Mus musculus: one gene and its partners. The protein of the gene in region 1 interacts with the protein of each later gene in a pairwise test. Links are inferred from orthologs where the notes say so. Each region holds a gene or a part of one and is shown on either strand. Other genes may lie near its edges.

Region 1 (3,383 bases):
AATCCCCAGCCAGGGTTTCTCAGTGTAGCCAATCCTGGCTGTCCAGGACTTGGTTTGTAGACCAGACTGGCCTCAGATTCTCAGGGATCTTACTGCCTCTGCCTTGCAAGTGCTGGGATTAAAGGTGTGCGCCACCATGCCTGGCTGGTCCACCTCTGAGGATAGTGCAAGTACCAGGACACAGTGTCCAGCCATTTGTCACAGTGTGTCTTGTCTTCCCTAAATGCAGAGCTCAAGAAGTCCCTGTATGCCATCTTCTCCCAGTTTGGCCAGATCCTGGATATCCTGGTGTCTCGGATCATGAAGATGAGGGGCCAGGCCTTCGTCATCTTCAAGGAGGTCACCAGCGCCACCAATGCCCTGCGCTCCATGCAGGGCTTCCCTTTCTACGACAAGCCCATGGTGAGTGTCTTGAGCGTGAAGTTTGTGTGTTTGTGTGCATGTGTATAGGCTGATGTGTTTGTGTGGGAGGAGACTGGGTGGCTATGGGCCTCCTGTGGCCTATGCTGGTCCCTAAGGATGCTACTTTTTTTTGTTGTTCCTTTCATCCTGTGTTCCTTATACGGGGGCTGTGGGGTCACAGACTGATCGAGTATCTGAGTGTGGTGGCTTATGAGGCTGAGGCAGGAGGATTGCCAAGAGTTTCAACCCAACCTGGACTGCAGAGTTGGAACCTGCCTAAAACACCACAGAACTATGGTGGAACCCAAGTGAAGAACGGATTCTGAGCAGCACTTGTCTTCCGTACCTACAGACATTCTATCACTGTAGCTGTTGCCTGGACTGCCCACCTCCACTGAAGCCTTGTTCTAACCACGCCTCTGCTTGCTTGTCCCTCACCCCCAAGTGCTCCTCCACACACCCAGCCCTGTCTCCGCAGCACAGCTTCTTCTGAGAGTGCTCGTCCCTCCTTACAGCTTCCTAGAATAGCACAAAGGGTCCCCCTTGTCCATGTGACCTTGCCTCCTCGCTCCTCTAATCCTCAGCACAGCTAGGCAGAAGTGCAGTCTAGGATCCCAGGCCCAGCTTTCTCATCCCTTCACTTTCTGGCTGTTCTCTTGCTAGGTGGATGCTCAGTGTCCACAGGATTCTCACCCCTTCCTTTTGTTTTTCCACTTTTCCTGACCATTGTATTTGAAAGGTTTACTTTGTAACATTCCTGGGACCTCAGGCCAGAGCTATATGGTGAGACCCTGTCTCAAAATGTTTAAGTATGTGTCTGAGCATGTGTTCTGGGTTCTTCCTAGGAGAGCTTGTAAGCGCCTATTCTAGCTTACAGTTACAGCTGCTTCCTATAGTCCAGCTATTGCTGCTTCCAATAAGTTTCTACAATAATCTGGCCAAGTGGAAAATATCCCCATTTTACAGACAAGGAAGTTGTCACCAATCAGTCTCTGATTTTTCTTAGCAAGCTCCTTTGATGTCTCATTTTGAACGCTAGCAGTTTTCCCTGATTTACATGCCCTGGGCCTTTTTGCTCTTGATTGGTAGCGCATCCAGTACGCAAAGACTGACTCGGACATCATTGCCAAGATGAAGGGCACCTATGTGGAGAGAGATCGCAAACGAGAGAAGAGGAAGCCCAAGAGTCAGGAGACACCTGCTGCCAAAAAGGCTGTTCAGGGTGGGGCAGCTGCGCCCGTGGTGGGGGCTGTCCAGCCCGTACCGGTAAGCAGGGTGCAGAAAAGTGTCCCACATGGCTTTGTGTGGGGTAGAGTGAGGGGATTGTCCCATTGTTGGGGGAGCCAGATGGATGGAGCAGGCCTCTCTCTCTCCTGCGTACCCTGGAGTGTTGGGAAGGTCTGTCTCCTAATTTTCTTTTTTGAGTTTGGTTTGGTTTTGTGTATCTTTACTTCAGTGTGTGTGTGTTTGCGAGTTCATGTTTGTGCATGCTCATGCTAAGTCCATGTCTTTATAGAAAGTAAAAATTTACCAGCCTACTATTGGAAATAGGCAAATTTCATTTAGAGAGACTAATGGATTATAAACTACAAAAATTGACGTAGCCTGTGGGAGACTGTACATCCAATCCGCAGTACTATGAGCAGGAGAAGGAATGAAGAGTTAGTTGTTTCCCTGCAGTAAGCTAAGCTATTACTACAGAAGTAAATAAATGCTTGGTAGGCTTCCTGTGGTGCCGTTGTAGGACGTGGGGCCTGCACAAGATCTAAGGCAGACCTGATCATGATGCTATCTGTGCTGGTAAAGTGCTTGCAAGCGAGCCAGGGGACCTGAGTTCAGTTATTGTGTCCCGTGGAAGGAGGAGGGAACCAACTCTGCCTTCAAGATGACCTGCTGTAGGCCTGTGGATAGAGAGAGATGTCTAATAAGGCATGGCAGAGTCCTTGTGTTGATGCAGGGCAGTTGGATCTACAGGAGAAAAGTTTAGCCCTGCCTAGGACTAGGTGTGGCTAGTTCACATAAGGTCCTGGGTTCAACCCCCAGCACCTGAAATGAAAGAAGGAAAATTTACCTTGTACTGTGTGTCAGCGTTGACGCGTGCCCTGGGAGGGTGGTATAGCACATATCTGCAGTCTAGCAACTGGGAGGTTGAGGTTATTCTGGCCCTCATTTTGAGAACTCAAGCTGACCCAATAAGACATGACATCCGCCGGGAAGTGGTGGCGCACACCTTTACTCCCAGCACTCGGGAGGCGGAGGCAGAGGCAGGCGGATTTCTGAGTTCGAGGACAGCCAGGGCTACACAGAGAAACCCTGTCTCAAAACACCAAAAAAAAAAGAAAGGAAGGAAAGAAAGAAGTGGCACGCCATTCTGCGATGGGCACCTGAAGCGCTGTGGGTAAAAGACAGCTGAATTGTGCCGCCTCCTGTCTTTGTCTCCTGGTCCTCGGGTTGTGTCACACTTTGCAGCTAGTGGTGGTAGCTGTGTGTCTTGTTTTGTCCTGCAGATCACTTCTGTTCTCAAACTTTCCATCTCTGATTTATTTTCATTTTTAAGTTACATTTTTGCTTAATTATGTGTGTTCACGAGTGTTCATGCCCATGGACATGAGTGGAGGTCAGAACTCGAAGCAATTCTCTTCCACCCTATTGGATCCTGGGCTTGAGCTCGGGTTATCAGGCTTACGGGCAGGTGCCTTTGCCTGCTAAACCACCTTGCTGGCTCTTTTTTTGTTTTGTTTTAATTTACATTTTAAAATGTTTATTTCTAATGCATGTGTATTTTAATATATACAGATGTATGTACCTGTGAGTATTTGTGACTGCATGCATGTGTGTGCCTCAGATCTCTTGGATCTGGAATTAGAAACAATTGTGGTTTGTCCTGTGTATGTTAGTCCTCTGAAAGAACAGTCTGAACCGCTGAGCCACCTCTCTTCTTTTTTTTTTTTTCTCTTCTTTTGTTTAAAGATGTAATTTTT
Region 2 (4,056 bases), about 3.5 Mb from region 1:
ACATGGTCAGGGATGTACTGAGTGAAGACAGTATCAGGATGGAGATAGGGATCTGCAGCAGGGCAGAGCCAGAGTTCTTGAACCCAGACAAGTGTGCCTGGCCAAAAGTGAGGTCTTGGTCCCCAACCTACCTGCTCGCCTCAGGAACATGGCCTCTCGAGCCTCAGGACTGTCCAGGTGACCACGATCGGCAGGGCCAAAGCCAACTGTGGGGAGGAAGAGATGAGGATGGTGGGAGGCAACCTTTGGGCACCCCCTTTTACCACCCTGCCTGAAACAGGACCCCTCATTTTGTCACTTACCTGGGCCCACAAAAGGAGGGCCTCCCACCATGGGAGGAACAACTGTGGCTGCAGCAGCTGCCCTGGCCTCCAGAGTCTGTTGGACCTATTGGGGAGGAGTTGTGGCTCAGAGATGCTGGCTCCCCTGGCAGGTTAATACTTTTACCCTTTATTTTATGGGTCTGGTGACCAGTCAGAGTCTGCTACAAGGTCTCTTCACTGGGGCTTCTGTCGCCATACTAAATAAAGCTATTTTTGTTGTTTTTGTTTGTTTTTCAAGACAGGGTTTCTCTGTGTAACCCTGGCTGTCCTGTGACTCCATCTGTAGATCAGGCTGACCTCAGACTCACAAAGATCTGCCTCTGACTTCCAAGTGCTGGGATTAAAGGCATGTGCCACCACCACTTAATAGCTTAAGCTTTTATTATTAATATCTCCCAGGATCAACTTTTCTGACTCAGTTCCCTACAGCACTATCTCCCATCCAAGGACTAACCAGGGCCCTGTGATTTCTGAGAGCAGGTATGTTCAGAGTGAGGCTGCAGACCCCACACTATCTTAACTAATGTTCGACCTGTTCTCCCTGTTGTCTACCTCTACCTTACCTAGATTATTAGCCTCTTTCTCCATCTCCTTGAACTCACCCTTGCTCTCTCTAGTATATTATCAAGACAGCCAAAGCTACATGCTTAACCTATAAGTTGGACCATTACCACCCACCTTAGAATTCTCTAGTAGTTCCTCATTTCATCTTAAAGTGGCTCAGAAGACCCTGCTAGATCTAGCTTCCATCACTGTTTTAATCTTCTCCATTTTCCCTTTTGTTTGCTCCTCTCTAGCCACTGACCTCTCTGCTGTTGCATGAACAAGACAATGCTGTCTCAGTCTTTGCATGGACAACTTTTTGCCTGGGATAACATCACTCCAGACATCTGCATGGTTCAGTCATCTCATTTATATCTTTGCTTTACTAATACCAGATCAAAAAGGCCTTCCCTGACTGCTAATAAAACTCTTACCACTTTGTAAGGTCAAAGAAACAACGGGAACTTTTCTGTTTTGTTTTCTCCTATACACCCCTTGCTTAGAACAGTGCCTAGTGCTGAGAAGGCACAAGAGTGCCTTTGATCTTTTTTGTTCCCTCCACAATGCAAGGGATTGAACCCACGGCTTTGACATGCCAGGCATGAGATTATTACTAAGCTGCATCCCAGCCCACCTAATAACTGTGAACAGAATAAACACGTTTTCTCTGCTGGTGTTCCTCTAAATAGTTCCCCCCTGTTTCCTTCTTTCCTCGGCTTCTTTCTTACAGCTGACTATTAAGCACCTGGAATATTATCCATGAGTCTTGGGAATGACAACACAGATATACATTTTAATATTGTTTTGGTTTTTTTGTGGTGGTAGTGGGCTTAGAAAATAGGACTCTGCCAGGCTAAGTGCTCTACCACTGAACTACACCCCAAATCTGTGAATAAAAACTTTCAAGAGATTTTTTTTTTTGTTTGTTTTTCGAGACAGGGTTTCTCTGTATAGCCCTGGCTGTCCTGGAACTCACTCTGTAGACCAGACTGGCCTCGAACTCAGAAATCCACCTGCCTCTGCCTCCCGAGTGCTGGGATTAAAGGTGTGCGCCACCATGCCTGGCTCAAGAGATGTTTATATAGAATAATCTAACACTGCAGAAAGTTCTACCGGACAGGCACTGTAGAATATTAGTTTCCAATGGATTAAATATACTGTCTTGCATCCTGAGTCCCTGGCACTTAAGTGGTCATGCCAGCCAAAACATCAATCGCTGTCCATAGATAAGCCCTTATTGGGACCAAACCATTCTGTTCTCCCGACTCAAGCTGTAGCTCTCACCTTACCTGTTGGTATGTGTTGGTGGCGATAATTGGGCGGATCACAGGAGCTGGGGGGACCTGCATCGCTTCTACCGTGGGCACCGCAGGCACAGCAGTTGGGATTCCGGTCACCGGAGCTCCCAATACTTCTTGCTCAAACCTGGGGGAGCGGGACAGATACCATAGGTCAGGTCTCACCAAGCCTGAGGTGCTGGGTACTTCTCCACCGCGCCTTCATCCCAGCTAATGCCTCCCCGCATCCCTCGGGTCCCACGGCCCCTTATGGAACCACATCTCAACCTTCTGAAGACCTGGAGGCTACAGGGTTAATTGGGTTTGCCCGGGAACAGCTTTTATTTCTCCTACTCAGGGCCTTACAGGGCCATCTCCGCCTCCATTTCTTTCAAGCGTTCCTCGCCGCTCTTGCCCGGGATGCCGACACCAGGCCCCGGGACCACCGGCCCTCCCGCCACCGGGAGTCCCGGAGCCGGCCCTGCTCCGGCCATCGCTGATGCCATAGCCTTCACCGCTCCTTCCAGCAGCCGCAGCGGGTTCTACGGTCGAGTCCCTGTCGTCTCAGGGTGGGAGCCGGCCGATGACGTATGGACTACCGCGACGGATGCGCTGCGTGAGGACGTAGTTTAAGAACAGGGGCTGAGACTTGGCCACACCCCCAGAGCGAGCAAAAGCCAATTAGAGTGTCGGAAAGTCAGGGCCCCGGAAGGGCCTCTAATCTGACAGACGCGGCTGTACGGATAGGCCCCGCCCTCGTAGAGAAAGGTGGGCGAATGAGAGCGAAGCAACGTCACTTTGACCCACCCCGCTGTGGAAGCCGGAACTTTGAGGAGGCACGGAAGTTCGGAGGTCCTTCCAGAAGTTTGTAAACACTGCAAAGCCAGGGTAGGAGTCTTTTGCACTCGGTGGACAGATACACTGCCAGGGGTCAGTTCATTATTCTTTTTTTGAATAAAATTTAATTTTACTGACTACCTCCATGGTTTTCTTTTTTTCATTTTGGGGTTTGGTTTGGTTTTGAGCCCAGGTATGGAACTTCCTAGGTTGACATAGGCTTTCAAGTGCTGGGATTATGGATACAGAACAAAATATTGGCTTTTAAAAAAGATTTATTTATTATTATATCTAACTACACTGTAGCTGTCAGACACACCAGAAGAGGGTGTCAGATCCCATTACAGATGGTTGTAAGCCACCATGTTGTTGCTGGGAATTGAACTCAGGACCTCTGGAAGAGCAGTCAGTGCTCTTAACTGCTGAGCCATCTCTCCAGCCCCCCAAATATTGGCTTTTATACTAGAGATATCTAGAGAGAAGTGTGGAGGTACATGTCTTTAATCCCATAATTTAGGAGATAGCCATGCAGATCTCTGGATTTAAGGTCAATCTACAGAGCAAGTTCCAGGACAGCCAAGCTTAGGCAATGAGGGAGGTGGAAAACAGAAAGCTGGTAATAGAATGGGGTTGGGGGTGGGGTGATGTTCCAGCATGTGGCTCTGGCTTTAGAGTGAAAAAGAGAAGAGACTACTGGGACAATTGATGCTGGTTAGCTGGAGCTAAGAAATTAGCGGTGATTAAGAAGAGACCAGCTGAGCCGGGTGTGGTGGCGCACGCCTTTAATCCCAGCACTCGGGAGGCAGAGGCAGGTGGATTTCTGAGTTCGAGGCCAGCCTGGTCTACAGAGTGAGTTCCAGGACAGCCAGGGCTACACAGAGAAACCCTGTCTTGGAAAAAAACAAACAAACAAACAAACAAAAGAGACCAGCATCTGGGGCTGTAGAGATGGCTCAGCGGTTAAGAGTACCAGATGCTCTTCCAGAGGACCTGGGTTCAATTCTCAGCAACCACATGGTGACTCCCAACCATCTGTAATGGGATCTAATGCCCTCTTCTGGTGTGTCTGAAGACAG
Region 3 (4,266 bases), on another chromosome or scaffold:
ATTTTACTCCTGCATTGACATTTGGAGATAATGAGCGCTATCTTTTCACCATTTTATGAGTCAAGGGCTCACCTTTGTGAACTTTTGTCTGTAGTTTTCTAAGGATTCCCCTGTCTCGCGGACATATTGGTATGACCCAGACTACTGCTCTTCACTGATTGGGCCCTGAGTCTTGCGGCACTCTTTTCATTGGATGAATCTTGTCTTACTTCCACTAGTCACGCTCAAGTCCCTGCAGGCGTCAACCTCTCCTTAGCAACCAGGCAAACATCCTGGCCAAGCTTTTTGCGTGAAGTTAGAGCAGAGGTAGCTCTTGATTCCATAGGCTCAGTTTCCTGATTATCATTTCCCCCTTACTTTCTGTGTTGGACCTCAACATCTCTTCCGGTCCTCCAGTTACCCAGTTGGTTGTGAGCCACATGGTTTCTGTCGCAAACCAATTACGAACGAACTGGTTATTTGGCTGAGGGTCGATTAAAAGACTCCATTTGCTGCAGAGTATGCAGACTTTCCCCCTGTGTTCCCGGAACTCCCATGTTGGGCAGGAATGATTCCTGCAACAAGTCGTCCTTGTAGAAAGAACTTTAATTTCTGAAACTCTTATTGCGCTTGGCACTCTGCTTTCTCTCTGGGTGTGCTCCAAGTTCAGCAAATGCAATTTTAATCGAGTCCCTGTCCTTGGGAAAGAATACAAGGGTCCTTAGTCCCTTCATGCAGTACGCAGCTCAAAACATTAAGTCTTAGGTTCTCAGCCTGGAAATACGTTCGGCTTCATTTTAGTGCTCCAGCCTCTTTAAATACTAATCTCAGGCAGTGTCTAGCTGCACGCAGCCAGCGGTTTTCTTTCTTTCTTTCTTTCTTTTTGGTTTTTCGAGACAGGGTTTCTTTGTGTAGCCCTGGCTGTCCTGGAACTCACTTTGTAGACCAGGCTGGCCTCGAACTCAGAAATCCGCCTGCCTCTGCCTCCTGAGTGCTGGGATTAAAGGCGTGCGCCACCACGCCCCGCTGCCAGCGGTATTTTTATTTCAAGCTAAGAGATTAACTTCAGAGACAGATGTCAAACCTGGAGATGCTTCCATTCTAATAGGAGGTATCAAGTTAGATATGCTTTGTAGACCTAGTTAGGGGCCACACAAGTTCCCAAGGGACAATTGAAAACACAGGCTCCAAACAAGATCCGTTCAGTTACAGAGTTCTGGTGGCTGCCTGGGATTGTTCTCTTAGCCCTTACAGGGGGCCTGGGTCCCAAACGATGGTCCCATTCTCGGGGAGCTTCTGGCTGCTTAGCTAACTCGTATCTAGCAGGATTAGGGAACCGAGGACCAGAAGGAAAGGGACCGGCTTCTGGGCTCCATCGCCTGGTGGCCAGGTCAGAACCCTTTGGCCCCACCTAAGCTCCGCCCACTCTGCGTTGGCTTCTGGGTTCCGACCTCTCTTCCCAGCATGCATTGCTCCAGACGAAGCCAGTCCCGCGCCAAGCGCGCGGTCTGAGAGCCTTTCCCGACGTCCTTTGCACGGCATCTGGCCACAAAATGGCTGCCCGAGGGAGACGGGCGGAGCCTCCGGGTCGGGAGGCGCCCGGCCCGGCGGGCAGCGGCAGGAGCCGATGGGCTGAGTCGGGACCGGGAACGTCACCCGAGAGTGGGGACGACGAGGTGTCGGGCTCGAGTCCGGTGTCCAGCGGTGTGAACTTGTTTGCCAACGATGGCAGCTTCCTGGAGCTGTTCAAGCGGAAGATGGAGGAGGAGCAGCGGCAGCGGCAGGAGGAGCCACCCCCGGGCCCGCAGCGACCCGATCCACCGGCCTCCGCCGCGGCGGGCCCAGGGAATCCGAAGAGGAAGGGCGGCCCAGGCCCCACGCTCAGCTTCGTAAGGAGCCGCGGGGGTGGGGGCGGGCGCCGGGGCCCGCGTTGGCTGGGGGAGTCGGGCCCGGGAAGGGGCGTCATGGTCCAAGGCAGTCCTCCGCCCGGCTGCCTGGACGGTCCCGGTCGCTTGCTGAGAATCTCGAGCCTGGATTCCGGACCAGAGGTGTTTCTGGGCGGGAATGGGAATCCTTAGATCTCATTCGTGGGACCTGAGAACCGGGAAATTGCATTGGAAGCAGCGCTCTGGGGTTAGGGGGCCCTAGATGCTAGGATTCCCGTTTGATTTGTACCCAGACTTTGAATAGTGAGGCCCACATATAATGTGGGGGAAAAAGAGGAGACACATTTAAATCCCGAGTCTGCTGTAATCGTTAGACTCGACTCGGACCACGGACCGTAGCCGGGCGTGGTGGTACACGCCTTGTATTACAAGCACTCCGGATGCAAGAAGAGGAGAATTCGAAAAAGTGAGACCTTGTCCCAACTAAACAAAACCAACCAACCAATAACAAAAAGCAAATCACCGACTTTGTGGCCTTAGCAAGATCAATCGATTCCTTTCTTTATTATTTAACTAATGTCCATTTATTTAGCACCTTATCTTGTGCTGAGTATTTATTGGTGGTGTCTTTGACAGAAAAGAACGTTGTTTGTTTGGAGTGTGGGTGGCCTATCCTGATTTTCTGTAGTTCTAATAATTGAGATTTTGATGTATTTCATGAAGTGGTCCTAGGAAAGTCAGAACAGACTCTTAAAGAACAAGACCAGTGGTTCTCTACTGGGAGCAAGTCTCTTCATCCTCATGTATTTGGTAAAGTCTGTAGACATTTTGGTTGTCAAACTCTTAAGAGGAGATGCTAGTGACATCTATAGGTAGATAGCAGGGATGCTCTTCTGTATCCTATAACGCAAGGGATAACAAAGAATGATCTAGCTGAAAATGTCAAGTGTCATGTTGAGGAGCCTCGGGTTAAATAAGTTGGACATATACTCTGTTAGTTTTGAGCTTGCTTTGTCTCTGATGTTGAGACCTTGTAGTGGGGAGGAAGAAATGTTGGTTTGAGAATAACAGACTGTGGGTCAAATCTTGGATCCAGTTCTGTGGTTTGGGGTAAGGCTTAAGTTTGTTTAGGTCTTAAAAGGGGGTGTGTGTGAGCCTCCAAAGTGGCACATACATGGAATCCTAGCACTGTGGTGCTTGAGGCAGGAGGATTGCAGAGTCTGAACAAAGGTTACATTGTTTCTAAAAACAACACAGTGTGTGTGTGTGTGTGTGTGTGTGTGTGTGTGTGTGTGTGTGTGTGTCCAGTAGTGTGTGCCTGTAGTATCAGCTACTCAGGAGCTGAGAAAGGATCTGACGTGAAAGGATCTGACGTCCAGAATGAGTTCAGAGCCAGCCTGAGCAACTTAGTGAGACCCCGTCTCAGAAACGAGATCTGGGGATTTAACTCAGCAGAAGATCGCTTTGAATGCATGGGATCCTAGATTCCACCTGCAGTATTGCACAAAAGCGATTGTGGGAATAGTCCAGCAGTCACTGCCTAGTTAAAGGGTAAGAACAGGATAATCTCTTGAAGGCCCCCAGTTAAAGGGAGAACATGGGGCCAGGGTGAAAACCCAGAGCCAGACTGTTCTTAGAGGAAGTGGAAAGTAACAGGGCCTGGGTTGATGTGACAGTCCAGGAATAGGAGCAACAGTGGTGTCACTGCCTCTTTGACTTATTCCTGAGTAGCCATTGTCATTATATTCCTAAAAACGCCAGGCCAGCTCAGGGTAGGAGAATGAGGGATGCTTTGTGGTTCAGGGTGCTCCCGCTGGCCTTGCACATCTGATCCTGAGTCTGTTGTTGGCAGCCTGTCCTATTTCTCCCAGAAACTTGTCTTTATTTCTAAAAGGAGATAGTTATTACCTTCAAATAGCATAACTGTGAATATGAGAGGAGATACCACGGTCACAGCGCTCTGTGTGGTCTGTAGGGCTCAATAGATAGTGAAGCTCAATAAAGGAAGCTGTGTGGTCCCTGACAGGACAGTGTGAGGCCTGGCAGAAAGAGTGAGGACAGAGCCAGTTCCCAGCAAGGTCAGCACTCCTCTGCCCCCCCTGGGAGGGTAGCCTGGGGCCCAGGACTGCCTGGGCATGGCAGCCCAGGGCAGGTGCTGAGTCGAGTGTGCTCCTCTCTGATTGCTGCGCAGGTCGGCCGGCTGGAGGAGCTGGGCGAGGCGTCGCTAGGAAGGTGTAGTGGGCCTCAGCACCGCCAAGGGCGGGCCCGGCTCCTGTAACCCTTGCAGTCTTCTGTCCCTTCACCCAGGTGGGCAAGCGCAGAGGCGGGAACAAACTAGCCCTCAAGACGGGAATAGTAGCCAAGAAGCAGAAGACGGAGGATGAGGTGAGTGGGCTGCCCA

The links. The genes of interacting proteins can lie anywhere in the genome.
Region 2: the proteins of Snrpa (region 1) and Rbm42 interact in a two-hybrid assay, tested with the Homo sapiens proteins (2 studies listed by BioGRID and IntAct). The link is inferred for Mus musculus from reciprocal best matches to the Homo sapiens genes SNRPA and RBM42.
Region 3: the proteins of Snrpa (region 1) and Trir interact in binary tests that used the Homo sapiens proteins (3 or more experiments, as listed by UniProt). The link is inferred for Mus musculus from reciprocal best matches to the Homo sapiens genes SNRPA and TRIR.

Annotation. Positions count from the first base shown.
Region 1 is NC_000073.6:27,189,889-27,193,271, reverse strand, and holds part of Snrpa (U1 small nuclear ribonucleoprotein A), read left to right. Parts: intron 1-229; coding exon 230-402; intron 403-1,491; coding exon 1,492-1,668; intron 1,669-3,383. UniProt on the Homo sapiens protein: Component of the spliceosomal U1 snRNP, which is essential for recognition of the pre-mRNA 5' splice-site and the subsequent assembly of the spliceosome. U1 snRNP is the first snRNP to interact with pre-mRNA.
Region 2 is NC_000073.6:30,647,429-30,651,484, forward strand, and holds the start of Rbm42 (RNA-binding protein 42), read right to left. Parts: upstream 2,801-4,056; 5' UTR 2,650-2,800; coding exon 2,510-2,649; intron 2,292-2,509; coding exon 2,156-2,291; intron 388-2,155; coding exon 303-387; intron 207-302; coding exon 132-206; intron 1-131. UniProt on the Homo sapiens protein: Binds (via the RRM domain) to the 3'-untranslated region (UTR) of CDKN1A mRNA.
Region 3 is NC_000074.6:85,025,367-85,029,632, forward strand, and holds the start of Trir (telomerase RNA component interacting RNase), read left to right. Parts: upstream 1-1,466; 5' UTR 1,467-1,532; coding exon 1,533-1,868; intron 1,869-4,056; coding exon of another isoform or gene 4,057-4,143; exon of another isoform or gene 4,144-4,172; coding exon 4,173-4,250; exon of another isoform or gene 4,251-4,252; intron 4,253-4,266. UniProt on the Homo sapiens protein: Exoribonuclease that is part of the telomerase RNA 3' end processing complex and which has the ability to cleave all four unpaired RNA nucleotides from the 5' end or 3' end with higher efficiency for purine bases.